3 linked regions of the Rattus norvegicus genome follow. The protein of the gene in region 3 binds, or shares a complex with, the protein of the main gene of each other region. Links are inferred from orthologs where the notes say so. Each region holds a gene or a part of one and is shown on either strand. Other genes may lie near its edges. The genes, in order: Capza1, Capza2 and S100b.

Evidence for each region.
Region 1: the proteins of S100b (region 3) and Capza1 are in contact, whole or in part, in an NMR structure (PDB 1MQ1), measured with the Homo sapiens proteins. The link is inferred for Rattus norvegicus from reciprocal best matches to the Homo sapiens genes S100B and CAPZA1. Residues at the interface, in NP_006263.1 of Homo sapiens: Glu46, Glu47, Lys49, Val53, Lys56, Val57, Thr60, Phe77, Met80, Val81, Ala84, Cys85, Glu87; in NP_006126.1 of Homo sapiens: Thr265, Arg266, Ile269, Asp270, Trp271, Asn272, Lys273, Ile274, Leu275.
Region 2: the proteins of S100b (region 3) and Capza2 are in contact, whole or in part, in a crystal structure (PDB 3RM1), measured with the Bos taurus proteins. The link is inferred for Rattus norvegicus from reciprocal best matches to the Homo sapiens genes S100B and CAPZA2. Residues at the interface, in NP_001029727.1 of Bos taurus: Ile37, His43, Phe44, Leu45, Glu46, Ile48, Lys56, Val57, Thr60, Phe77, Met80, Ile81, Ala84, Cys85, Phe88; in NP_001013016.1 of Bos taurus: Thr267, Lys268, Ile269, Trp271, Ile274, Leu275.

The regions. Positions count from the first base shown.
Region 1 is NC_086020.1:195,049,842-195,054,780, forward strand, and holds the start of Capza1 (F-actin-capping protein subunit alpha-1), read right to left. Parts: upstream 3,260-4,939; 5' UTR 2,973-3,259; coding exon 2,934-2,972; intron 1-2,933. Other genes in the region: St7l (suppressor of tumorigenicity 7 protein-like), read left to right, coding at 3,697-3,910. UniProt on the Homo sapiens protein: F-actin-capping proteins bind in a Ca(2+)-independent manner to the fast growing ends of actin filaments (barbed end) thereby blocking the exchange of subunits at these ends.
Region 2 is NC_086022.1:46,960,783-46,964,959, reverse strand, and holds part of Capza2 (F-actin-capping protein subunit alpha-2), read right to left. Parts: intron 2,080-4,177; coding exon 1,873-2,079; intron 1,142-1,872; coding exon 1,062-1,141; intron 1-1,061. UniProt on the Homo sapiens protein: F-actin-capping proteins bind in a Ca(2+)-independent manner to the fast growing ends of actin filaments (barbed end) thereby blocking the exchange of subunits at these ends.
Region 3 is NC_086038.1:12,377,805-12,382,730, reverse strand, and holds the start of S100b (protein S100-B), read left to right. Parts: upstream 1-1,649; 5' UTR 1,650-1,761; exon of another isoform or gene 1,762-2,812; intron 2,813-3,521; exon of another isoform or gene 3,522-3,637; intron 3,638-4,926. UniProt on the Homo sapiens protein: Small zinc- and- and calcium-binding protein that is highly expressed in astrocytes and constitutes one of the most abundant soluble proteins in brain.

The sequences.
Region 1 (4,939 bases), on a different chromosome or scaffold from region 3:
CAAAGTAAACAAACAAACAATTACTGCAAAAATATCATCAGGGCTACTTGCTTATGAATCTCAAGACATTCAAGATTAGTATAATCTTTTCACAGACACAGACAGACAGACACATACACACACACCCCACTGCAAAACATTTTATTTTTTGAGAAAGGGATCTCATTTATGTAGCTAAGCATGGGCATGAATTCCTAATTCTTTTTGCCTTTATCTCTCAAGAGCTGAAATTATTATGGACAGGTACCACCAGGACCAGCCTTTTCCGCTAGCTTTTCAATTTCTGTTAAGAATCAATTAAAGATTAGAAGGAAAAGCAGGCAAAGTAGGTAAGAAGCTCAAAAATCAAGAAGTCTTACAAAGCCCTTTCTTTTCCTTCTTTTCAAGACAAGGTTCTTGGCTGTCCTAGAACTTCCTCTGTAGACCAGGCTAGCCTCGAACTCACAGAAATCTGCCTCCCAGTGCTGGAATTAAAGATGTGTCCCAGCATCACTTCCACCCAGAAAGCCTTTCTTTATAGTCATAGATTTAGAGAGATGTGAATGTGCCTGTCAACTCTGAGGAAAGGAATCTAATAAAATTACAGGAATCTCAAGTTACTAGGGTCTCTTTATGTAGTCCTGGAACTCACTATGTAGTCACGGTTGGCCTCAAACTCAGAGATCTGCCTGTTTCTGCCTCCTGAATGTTTGGATTAAGGGCATGCACCACCATGCCTGGATCAAAGCATAGGGATTTTACTGTATCATTATACTACATATCTACATTGATAAAGACAATGTAGTCAATTAATAAAAAACAAAAACAAAACAAATAAAAAAATCTCTATTAAACCTAGAACCATGGGAGGCAAAGACAGGAGGGCAAATTGGAGATCAGACCAGTCTACAGAACAAGTTTCAGATCAGCTAGGGATATATAACAAGAATCTGTCCCCCAAATACAAAACATCAAAAGCTCTTTACTAAAATAGGAATAGGATTTATCAGCAATTTATCAGCAGACTTACTACTTATTACTGGCTTGTTTATCATTATTAAAACTAAGCAATAAAGTTAAGTATCATGGTATGTGCCTAGCACCATTTGAGAAAGCCTGGCAGATTAGGGTTGGGGTCATTCTTGGCTGTATAGTGAGTTAGAGGTTTACATGAGCCACATAAGACACAGTCTCAAGAAATAGAATAAAGTTTCACTCTAACTTAATGTTATGTGAACCAAAAGTATTTGTTTTATAATAAACGTTGTCATAGTTTTCTTTGTGTGAGTTTTGATTTCTTAGGTCTTTAATATTTATAATACTCAATGTTCAAATAAGAGAAACCAATACTAAAGTGTTATTTGGTGGCTTTTTAGTTTTTGTCCTACTAACAATGAAGTTCAAACACAGGATGTTGCACATGTTAAGTACTCTAGTAACAAACTGCCATCCTGGTCCCTGTTAAGTGTTTATAAAGGTGCTAAGCACCCTTTTCAGCATTTAAAGACAGTGGCTCATTCTTACACAGGTATATATTAAGTTATTCTTTTTGAAGAAGTGATCAAAAATAATCTGTTCCCCCCCCAACAATCGGTTGGACCCCCCCAGTGCAGGGGAATGGGGGGGGGCGGTAAGGGGGATGGATGGGGGGAACACCCGTATGGGGGGTGGATGGGAGGTAATGGGGGCTTATGGACAGGAAACTGGGAAAGGGAATAACATTTGAAATGTAAGTAAAGAAATACATCTAATAAAAAACAAACAAAACAAAACAACAAAAAAGAACCCAGGCAGATTTTATAGAACACCGGAGGGCACATACTTTGCTAACAGGCACTGCAGGAAACAAAAGACACATTCTTGTCCCATAAGTAGTTATCTAGTGAAACCATTTTAACTTCTAGCCACCCTAAGATTCTGTGTTTATGGAAGAACCTGGCACTTCTTTCCTTTTTGAACAAACTGTTTAGCAAATATATGTGGTTGTCAGGAAAAGTTATCCTATCAAATTTGGGATACACCCTTGTATTTAAAACACCTTTAAAGATCTAGGCACACAAACGACATTCTGACAACCCCAGCTATAAAGCACTACAGTTGGTCATCAAAAAAGGGTTGGGTGTTTCATCCAAACTGAATGTGTTAAATGTGAGGTTTATTTGCTACATAACCTTTCTGGAGTTGAAACAAGTCTGTTGCCTACTTCTCACGGTTTAACCGGAAGTAAAAAAAACTACTTTGAAAAAAAATTATAGTTAAAACAGAAGAGTCGGAGTCACCTTGGGGCTAAACGTGCACACAAGAGAGCATAAGCAGAATAAAGGTGTTCGTCAAATTCTTAAGCAAATCCCTTGAGGTTTACTGATTTATTTTTATCCAATTAGTTTAGTCGTCAGTAGTTAAGAAAAGATGAGGGTGTGTAGGTTAGGTGGACAGGCAACACCAGAGGACCTCTCCCTGACAAGGAGTCCTGACAGCAAAATCACTTCCTGAGGAAGGAGGAGCAAAAGGGAAGTTAAGGAGGCCACTCTGATCAGGAAGTGACTCGTTCTAAACTAACCCCAATCATACCTATAAATGGGGGGATGGGGTGAGCCCCAACAGCCAAAGGCGGTAAAATAACTGCTGCCTGACACGTCCCGACATCACATTCTCCTCCTCTCTTACACAGTAAAGAGTCTACAGTTAAGTCAATCAGACAAAGTGTCTCCTCTTTTGAAGGAAGGTTGTGTTCGGTCCGGAATGAAAAGAAGAGTTGAGGAATGGGGGACTGGGGCCACCGTGAGGCAAACGAAATCTCCTTTAAGGAAGGAAGCGTCCCGGATGCAGAGGGAATATGCTAGCACCGGGAAACAACCTTCTTTTTCCAGGGGTCACCACCAGGTTTCCCACTGCTGCCGGCTCGGACCCCTGGGCCTCGTCGGGGGAGGAAGTAAAAGAGGCGGACCCCTTACCTTCTCCTCATCCGACACCCGATCCTCGAAGTCGGCCATCTTGGCTGCTCTGGCCCAGCCCGGCGGGCCGGCGCGAGGCAAGCCGGGAAGGAAGCTGAGTGGTGGAATCACCGAGGGGGCCGTCAGAAGGACCCGCCCGGAAGCTCCGGCCAAGAGGGCGCCATGTCAGTTCCGCGCGGGCGTGACAGCTTAGGGTGGGAGCGCTCTAGGAAGTCGACTTTCCCCTCAGGGTTTTGCAGTCTTAACATCTTTCTCACTGGGTTTCAGTCACTTTCCCATTCGTCCTGGAATGCTTGGTGGCGTGTCTCGACTGTCCATGGCGCCTGGGCTCCCTCTGGTCAAGTAGCAGTTGCTACACCTAGAAGTTTTCCTGATCCCGTTGGTCTCGTAGGCCGCCGAGTCCAGTGCACTAAGAGCTGCTCGGCTCTAGGAGACATCAGTACTTTTCCAACGCCGGCACAGGGCGAAAGGTGACCCCCAACCACGTACGGAACCAAAACCACTTCTCTCCAGCGCCACATTGAGTCCGTTTCCTGCAGAATAAGTGCCACCATCGGATCCTTCCCCGCCCTCCTAGAGGACTAGGTAGCCCCAGAGTAGGCCACCTTCCAGGCGTTCCGCCACCTTCCAGACCTCCGTCCAATTCCCCAGGACTCAGCCTAGACAGAGGCCAGCTTCAAGTCCGCCACTATCCCAGGATTCCCAACTCCGGGTTTCCGGCCCTTCTCCCCTCCCAGGTCCCGGCGCCTGCCGGAGACGCAAGATGGCGGACGGAGACTACTTCGCGGAAGCCGCGCGGGCTGTGGGGTGTCCCCATGCACCTGTTCCCGGCTTGGGCCTGGGCCCGCCGCTGGGCTGGAAAGAGCGGCTGAAGGCCGGGCTGGCGAACTCTGGGTCCACGCTGTGGTTCCTGGCGGGGCTGGGGCTGCTTTACGCTCTGAGGGTCCCGCTGAGGCTGTGTGACAACGTGACAGCGGGTGAGAGGCCCAAACCTCCTGGACAGTCGGGGACAAGCACCAAAGATCAGAGATTCTCAGGGAGTCATGGAGGGCTTTGCAGAAGGAAATTGGTGTTGCATGCTCCAGTGGGTTTATTTTTTCTTTTGGGCCACAGCAACCCGGCAGCTAATTGTTAAACCTGTGCTGCAGTTTACCGGCCCCTCCCTAGAGCTCTGAAGGTTCGCCCTCTCTGTTCTGCCTACGTTACCACCGGAAAAGCTACCTGTCAAGCTGCAAGCTTCAGGTAGTAAGGCAGAAGAGAGCATTCCCAGATAGGTACACACAATGTATATACATTCTTATTGCTTGCAGGGCTCTTTGAAAAACCGTACCATTGAGTCTCCAGCTGCTGAACTTAACCTACACCAGAAACCTAAGATAAGCATATCTGTAATACAAGATAGAAAATGCTATGATTTTAGTGGATCATACTTTTATTGTAAGACGGTTCAATTAAGAAACGTTTTTCGTAATATTTTTATCCTTCAGACTTTGTTATGAGTAATAAGATAGTACAGGAAAGAGAGAGAGGAGAGAGAAGCACTGACAACAGTGAGGTTGTTTAGTATTTTCCTTCCGCAGTTGTACAGTGTCACGGGGCCTGGGCTAAAGATAAAATTTGTAAACAGTGTTGATCCATGCAGATTCTGCAAATGCTATTCCTTAGCCATAGGCAGGATGAAAAGATGGGGTCCTGGACCTTTTGTGGTGTTATTGCAGAATTTATTTCTGCAGCCTCAGAAGGTGGAAATATTTCTATTAGAGAGTCCCATGAGATGACATGAAAGACCATAGGATAGTGCTCTAAAATGCTTTGGGTATTTTAGAGGACAGGCACCACATACGGTCTAATTTATCTGTAATAGTTTCATGACGTAATTTGTGTGCTCATTAAAATGCTGTTCATTGAGTTGTTCATTTATTTTTCTACTGTTGTTGTCTTGAGGCCAGGATATAACCAAGACTGACCTTGAATACCTGATCCCTTGAGCCACTTCTTAAGTGGCG
Region 2 (4,177 bases), on a different chromosome or scaffold from region 3:
TTAGTTAAATTTTCTCTTTAATAGGTCAAGCTCAACTGTTGATTTATTATTATTTCCTGGTACAAATATATAAATAATTTCCAAAGATTTCTTGGTTTAGGATTATACAGATAAGATAAGGAAACTAACCTGTAAGGTCACTATCTTTAAGAAGCTGTAGTCTGTCATTTAGGCCTATGTTTAGATATGGATGATGGATCTGCATTCCACCAAATATTTTTGGTTAGCTTTTTGTATAACCTGGCATTGATTTCTGACATGACAAAGTAGTGAACAGCCTTGGTTAGAGCCTAAACTGGTCTAACTGGGGTTACTGACACTAGTAACTTTACTCTCAAGAGTACCGTAAACAACTTAGTGAGTCAAAACATTAAATCTAAACATTTTCATCATTTTTACTGATATCCATCATGTGTGAAAGTTGGTGGCCCAAACTTTCAGTTTAAACTAATAAACATCTTAGAGAACCTTAGAATTTTATGATATACAAATTCAGAATAAAGTTCAGCAATGTTCTAAACACCTGATATATCACCATGGGGAAGGCAGATTTTTGTACAAATAACTATTATATATGCAGTTACAAAGCATGACTGTAATTCTACCTTCTCACACTGTCCAAAAGAACACTATCTAGAAAAAAATCCACTAACCTAAAGTTCCCAAATTTAAAGAAGACTCCTGGTTCTTAGTTATTTTTTTTTTTAAACTGCTTCTGTCCCCCTCTCTTGAGTAAGACACAAGAACACCCCATTTTCAGAATGAGCAGATGGGGTGCTACCTGGTCTGTTTGCAAGCACACACACTTGCTTAAGTTGCTGCCAGTTCCCTTCCCAATCACTCTGCTCTCCTACACTCTTTGGTGAGTGTCAAAGGCTTTACTGCACTCTAATGACTCAGATCATCATTATGAAGCAAGTATCTTTCAAATTCTCAAAGGACAGCAGTTTTATTTATCAAGTTTACATTGCTCTTAGTCACACAGTCACACAGAAGGTACAGTCTAAGTTATATGGACTATAAACATTGTTAAAATTAAGTGAACAAAAACTTTAACTTACCAAAAGTTTTTTGCTTGAAACTGATGGCTTTCGATGCATGCAATAATGGTTTGCTGCCCATCTACTTTTTTGCCATACACCTTATTGGCAAAGAAAACAAGAACAACAGTGAGTTTAGTTAAGGCCAAACAATGTCCCCCTTTAAGTATCTATAAGATACCACAGAAAGTGGGCATAACTATGATGTATGGTAATTTTAGGTTGGACAGGTAAACAGAACCAAGGCCACATGGCTTCACAAATCTCTCTCAGATGCCTGGATTCTACCCTAAGCCTCTGAAAGATTCCAAGCAGAGGCTTTTTCAGGATCTCATGTGCATTTTGAAAGCTCACTATGGCTCTGGAGAAGACCAAACTCAGATGCTGAAGAGCCTATCTGGTTACAATCTTAGGAAAATTAAAAAACAAACCCATTTAGTTATACTATTATATTTCATTCTGAAAAAAAAAGTTAAATCAATGAACAAATAACATTAAAACAACAGGAAATTAAGGTATAAACTGAAATGATTCTCTTAAGATTTCTGTAACTAAATAAAAGTTAATTTAAGCTGAACATGGGAAGATGACTAAAGAGAGCACCATCATATCCTTTAATCCAGTGTCTATCTGAATTTAACTTAACATACAATTAGTTTACCGTTTGGGGCTATCATAATAAATTTTATTTAGAAAGATAAACATTCTTGAAAGAAAAAAGTTAGAAGCTATAAGCTGTTAGTTCTATATACTTCTATTATTTCAAGGAATTCTATAAACTGGCACATCTGTATAAGAAACAACAGGGAAGAACAGCCCACTGACGACTCACAGTGCAGACCCCATTGGGATAATGCTCTTTTACATAAGCTCGCAGTGCAGTTTCTACTGAAGTTCTCCAGGATTCAATGGCATTTTCTGCTTCATAGGGCCTTGGATCAGTTGCTTCTTTTCTTAAATGATCAAATTTGAAACAGATTCTGTTTTTTGGATCCAAAAATTTTCCATTTCCCAAGTCTCCATGTTCTGTTATCAAGACCTTCAATTTTCAAATAAATTTAGGAAAAAATATTAACATGAACACACAGTAATAAATATTTGCTTTAAGACCCTTTCTGAAACTGTACAATTACACTGAAACAATTGCTTAAATTATACTGTGAAAATATATTTTAAAAGAGTAGGCACAGGGTTGGGGATTTAGCTCAGTGGTAGAATGCTTGCCTGGCAAGCACAAGGCCCTGGGTTTGGTCCTCAGCTCCAGGTTGGGGGGTGGGGGAGAGTAGGCACAAGGATACTGAGGGTATTCTCTCTTAGTATACATTAACATATCTTTCCAAACGATTTTTGGATACTGAGTGGGGAAAGTGTTGGAGATGACCTCCATTTATCGATCTACCTACCCACTCAAAGAGGCAGTTTACTATTTCTGATGGCAGCCAAGAATCCTTAAGAACCGAGGCCTTATCAATCTGATGGTTTAATCCTTAAAACCTGAGGCCTTATCAATCAATAGTTTAATCAGTGAGGCAGCCCTTTAGCCCTGTGTGGCGCTCAGTCTTTCTGTTCCCCAAATGTGCTCGTTTCTTAAAAACTAATCACTACTAACTTCCAAAAATGTAAAACATAACTTATGTATTTATATACATTTAATATATGAATAAGCCTTTTACTTTGTATCTTACTTAAAAACAAAAACCCTTTTCTCCTGTAGCTGTCCTAGCTAGTAAATGCTGACCTACAAGACTTACCCATCCTTCTGGTATAAATCGTGCTGACAACATAACAATTAACTTTGTAAAAATGTTTTGGTAATAAAATGCCACATTAGATAAATATGCACACCTATCTATTTATCCTCACACATACATGGTTTGTGGGTCATTGTTTTCAAAAATGATAAAATTATACAAACATATACATCTTTATGAATTTGCTGGGTTGGCCCAGAGCTTTGGCCCAACATGTAATCATGTAAGGCACCAAGATGGATGACAATGTGTGACCCCACCTCATTGGGGAAATGGAAGTTGAATGTTCTCTACTACTTGGAAGTCCACTAACCTCTTATCTTAACAGACCTTGACTATAGCCTTCTGCTATCCTAACAGCCAGAGGACCCCTGACCACGACCCCAGGCAAACTATATGCAGCTCCTTTTCCTTAATGCTCTCTTGCCACTCTGCCCAACTAAAAGTACCCTATAAGACCCCAAGCTCCTTTGTGGCAGTGCTACATCTCCTTCACTTGGGGACAAACCAGCAGTTTGTACCCTGAAGAAAGCTTTGCCTTTTGGCTAAAACAGGCTCTGCTCTCTTCTTAATCCACACATACTTGACATTTTCTATACATAAACATCTATGGAAACCCTCTACTAGCAATCTCTCACTATTTTCTTTACTAGTTGCATAATATCCCAGGATGTTAATAGTATAATTTAATCCACAAATCTATTACTGATATGTCATCTCTTTATTTACAAGTGTTTATAAGTCTTTTCCGGAGGAGAAAGCACCATTAAAAAATGGTGAAGTTTTGTTGTAAATCCTTATCATTGTTTTTTTTTTTTTTCTTATTGTTTTTATTTACAACAGATAACTTTAAAAATTTACTTTAGACATAGCCAATGGTACAGAAGACAGCTTCTCAGAGTCAGGTTATTTGTTCTACTGTGGGTTCCAGGGATCAAAATCAGGTCACCGGGTTTGCACAGCAAGTGCCTTTACCGAGGAACCAGCCCACTGGCTCTTGTTACCATCTTTAGCTTTTAAACATATGCTCATGTGTAAAGTTAGTGTACACCACTCTCTAAGGAAGTTTTTGGTTTTAAGTATTAACTAAGTTTTTAAGCTAATCTGTTAAAATAACTTTAGCAGCCATTAAACATTTTTAAAAGATGTTTTCATTAATGCAGCAAATTTTCTTCTAAGGATTTATCTAAAGAAAACCATTGTCAATGTTACCAGGAATATAAAGACATTTGATATAATACTGTTTGTAATGGTAACCTATTCAATCTCTGGAGAAATGAAACAATAACAAGTGTGCAATTATGTGTATGTATGAGTACCCCTGCCTGTTCATGTGAATGCAGCGGCCCATGGAGGCCAAAAGAGGTCATTAGAACCAGTACACCT
Region 3 (4,926 bases):
TAATAAATAATAAAAACTTAAGGCCAGTTCCCTTGGTGATCGATGCAGTCTGGAACTTTCCTTCATTCTGTCAGCTGCCCTCCCTCGTTATCCGGAGCTGGCGTCTTCTGTCAGAGACTGTCAGCACCTTTACTTCCCGCTCAGGCTCAGTGGGAGCCATGTTGGTGTCCCTGCCTTAGATGTGTCTGGGAGCGGCAGAGATCTCTCCTACTCTCACTGGGGTGTAGGGATTGCTTTCACATCTCTGACTTTGGATCTTCCACTGCCATACCTCGGCGGCCCGTCTTGCTCTCCAACTGTCACTTCACTTTCTTGAGTGTGCCTTCTTTCCAGGATGTAGAACTCTTTGTCCACTCCATAGGACTCCTGTAACATTTGTGGGGGCTTGTCTGGGATCTGAAGATCAACACACACATACACACACACTCACGCACGCACGCATGCACACACGTGTGTATGTTCATGCACTCGGGTTTGAAGATCTCTACTTAAAGTCAGTGTAACTGACTGAAGACAGCTAGGGAGGGGTCAGAGAAGCCTCGATCATCCGGTACCCCAAGCGACATCACAAAGTAAGGGTCTCTTCCCAGCCATGATTATCATAACCGTCTCCCCCAGTCAGCTCCCTTTTATTGTCTATTGATGACTAAGAAGATTAGGGGACCTAATCTTTGGGGACCAGTGGCTTTGATCTCCTATAGATAAATGGTGAGTCGAACCAGAGCAGGGGTTTATACCTCCACCCCAAAGCTAACCTTTCCTCAAGAAAAGGTTACATTCCAGGGCAGGAAAACTTCATTCTACCTCTAGCATGTCGAGTCAACTTCTTGGTCTCTGTGATATTTGGGTGACTTTTGTCATGTAGCTCTTCCCACAGACACTCCGGACTCGAGGTGCAAAGGGACGTGTGTGACTAAGCTATCCTCCACTGGGGAGTCTTCTGGGTTAGTTTTGTGCCTTTGTGACAAGAGGCACAGCGTTTCTTCCCTATGTGAAAAGAGCACAGGACGGGCCATCTCTAAAGCATTTCTGGTGCAGACAGCTCAACCTTTGACCAGGGTGAGAAGGGAGAGAGGCCTAAGACACAGCTGGCGTGTCTTTCCCTCTGTGCAAAAGTACTAAGTTAGAAAGAAACTTACCGCACCCTGGTCCCTGAGAAGACTGGGTTCAAAGAGGAGTCTGGGGGTAACCACTGCCCAGCATCACCAGCCACAGCATGGCATACCTGTAGGAGGGGACCAGAAAGCTGGCAGGCAGGCAAGATGCTCAAGAGGCCTCCTTGGAAGCCAGCCATAGCCACACAGCCTCCAGCACTCAGCACCAGAAGTTTCCAGTTCTTGGCTGCGTATCTGCTGTTTGAATCAATTCACCCACGCTGTCTCTCCCCTCTTCCCACCAGCCCCCCAATCTTGCCTCTGGAACAGCATCAATATTCATATCCTAAATTTAAACGGCACAGAGAAGCTGACTCCACATTTCCTGCCCAACAGACCCATATTCTTTCTAGATCAGATCCAATTGTGGCTGCCCAGTGGGTCCCCAGGGTACCACTCAATGGGGCCCTGTATGCAGGCCCGGTGGTTGTCCAGCTCCTCCCTAACCTTGGCCCCTATTGGCAGTCGCAGTCTCAGCCTGCAGCGGACTGCGCCAAGTCCACACCCAGTCCTCTCTGGAGGAAGAAAAAGGAGCTTCTCTGTCTACCCTCCTAGTCCTCGGACACCGAAGCCAGAGAGGACTCCGGCGGCAAAAGGTGACCAGGAGGTGAGAAAGAGTCACTGGCAGGACCCAAGAAAAACCGCTTCTTTCTCTCTTTGCAGGGTGAGGGGGTGAAGGGGATAGGATGGGAATTGAGCTTTGAAACTTTTTAGAAAACCTTTGGGGACGTTTGGCTGCATTCCAAGGCTTCCGATGAGGCCGCCTTTCTTGTTTCCTTGTGACAGTTGTTGACATCTGTGCTGCCATGGAATTGTGTCTGTCCCTGTTTTCGTGAAGCCAGAGATCCCTTGGGTCATTTTTTCAAGATTCAGAATGACTACTGATGTTTTCAGAGATGGCATCTAGGGCTTCTTCTCTACGTCCTAAGGGAAGGATTTTCTTTCTTGGAATAGAGTCACCCCAAATCCCCAACCACAGCGCTCCCTTTCTCCTGGTAGCTTTTCCCGGGGGTCCCTGGAGCACCCAGGTGAGCTTTTCCAGTTTCCCTCTTTGAAATGCCAAGAACTACATCTCCAGACACCGCTCAAAAAAAAAAATTGCAAAGTAGTTGAATCTTTTCAGATCATTATGAATTGGGGCAGAGAAATGAGGGTTTGGGAGTGGCCCTGACTTCTCTGTTACCCCTCCTGGGGAGGGGCAGTCTTTGTGGGGAACCCCTCCCCGGACAGGCAGTACCATTCCAAGAAGCTCAAGCCCTGTGTTTTCTTTATAAAGTCTCCTCCATTTGTCTTAGGAGACAGACAACTAACTTCTTTAGTTGAAAGAATAGGGGAAAATTTGGAATGTCTAATGTAGTCGTGAGAAAACTCAAATTTTACGGACTTTCCTAGCACATGGGATGTGGTGTGACACCGTTTGTTCTTAAGCCTTAGTCCTTATCCACAAAAAGATCATTTAGCCTTTCCCTCCCCCAGCCGTTAGGACTTTGAGCAATATCAGTATGATGCAGAGTTTCTGGAGACTTTTTTTTTTTAAATCAATAACTGTGCTGGGTACGAGCCAACCCTCGGGAGAGTAGAGGCAAGAAGATCATGATTTAGGAGAAAACTTGGGGACAGTGAGACCTCGTGTCAATCTGAAAAGGAAAAACAGGCAGGTAATTCTGCGCCTGGCTTCTCCTCCCCTCCCCTCCTCTCCCCTCCCCTCCCCTCCCCTCCTCTCCCCTCCCCTCCCTTCCCCTCTTTTCCCCTCCCTTCCCCACCACTCTTTTCATGCCACTAAATGTTTCATAAAAAAACCAAACAAAGAAAAACAGTAACCAGGGGCGTTGGGGATTTAGCTCAGTGGTAGAGCGCTTGCCTAGCACTTTGCCAGCTCCGAAAAAAAGAAAAAAAAGAAAAGAGGAAAAAAAAAAAAAAAAGGTAACCAGGGCTGGAGAGATGGCTCAGCCCAGCATCCACACTGGCAGCTCACAACTGCCTGTCACTCCAGTTCCAGGGGATCTGACACTCTCCCAGCCTCTCTGTGGGCACCATGCATGCTCACACATACCAGCCTGCAAAACACCCAGACACACACGCGTTTCTTTTCTTCTTCTTCTTCTTCTTCTTCTTCTTCTTCTTCTTCTTCTTCTTCTTCTTCTTCTTCTTCTTCTTCTTCTTTTCTTCTTCTTCTTCTTTTTCTTTTTTCTTTTTTCTTTTTTTCGGAGCTGGGGACCGAACCCAGGGCCTTGCTCTTGCTAGGCAAGCACTCTACCACTGAGCTAAATCCCCAACCCCACGAGTTTCTTTTTAGCTAAAAGACCAACAAGAACGGAAAACACAAGTTAAGAAACCAAGAGAGAGCATCACCTCTTATCCCTTCAGGTTCTATTTATGGGAGGTACTTCAGGTATCTGGAAAAGACGAGCAAACTGAGGAACCAGAGGGTCAACAAAGGCCAAAAACCTTCCTTTCTCTTGCTGAGATCGTTCATAAAAAATGTAAGAAGTTACTAAAATCTAATATGTTCATCATGGAAATGACTTTTGAGTGTCTTTTGTTTGTTTACTTATGACGGTGCAGATTCTGGCTTAAGGATCAGAACTCAAGGCCAGGAGCTGTCTCTGCCTAAGTAGCTGGTCTCTGAAATGAGCCCAAGGCCGCCTCTCTCTCAGAGAGTTGAGCAGCCATCCCCGATTCCCCAGGCTGTGGCTGCTGCATCAGGTGCTCTCTTGAAGGCTGTTTGCTTCTCGCAGGCACGCATGCCTGTTCACAAAGAAGCTGCTGTACTCTGAGGCCAGGCTAATGAGTAAGCACAGAACGCTGGGCTGTGCCTTGGTCTCCCTTTGTCAGCATGCCAGGAGAATCATATGACCTTGGAGTCCGTGTTGCTGCAAGGTCGCTTCACTGTTACTTTTCAAAACAGTTGGTACAGGGATACCTTTAATCCGGATGAATTTTACAGTCTACTTTTTTTTTTTTTTTTTTTTTTGGAGCTGGGGACCGAACCCAGGGCCTTGTGCTTGCTAGGCAAGCGCCCTACCACTGAGCTAAATCCCCAACCCCTCAGTCTATTTTTTTTGTTTGCCCCCACCTCATCCAAAAAAAACCTCATGTTTTTATTTAAAATCTTAAACGGATATATTAATTCATATGAAAATGAGCTTTGTTAGGTCTTTTTTTAAAGGTATTTATTTATTTTATGTATGTGAGTACACTGTCACTGTCTTCAGACACACCAGAAGAGGGCATCTGATCCCATTACAGATGGTTGTGAGCCACCAAGTGGTTGCTGGGAATTGAACTTAGGACCTTTGGAAGAGCAGTCAGGGCTCTCGAGCACTGAGCCAGCTCTCCAATCCCTTTGTTAGGGTTTTGTTACTGCAATGAAACACCTTGACCAAAAAGCAAGTGGGGGAGGAAAGGGTTAATTCAGCTTATACTTCTGCGCCACAGTCCATCATCACTGGGATTCAGGACAGGAACCCAAGCAGGGCAGGATCCTGAGGGCAGGAACTGATGCAGAGGCCATGGAGGGGTGCTGCTTACTGGCTTGCTCAGCCTGCTTTCTTATAGAATCCAGGACTACCGGCCTAGGGATAGCACCGCCCACAGTGGGCTCGGCCCTCCCTCATCGATCACCACTTAAGAAAATGCCTACAGCTGGATCTTATGGGGGCATTTTCTTTAATCGAGGTTCCCTTCTCTGAGATAGGACTTTACCTTGTGTCAAGCTGATATGAAACTAGCCAGAACACGCTTGTTCTTGTTCTCGGAATCCTTTGGAAGG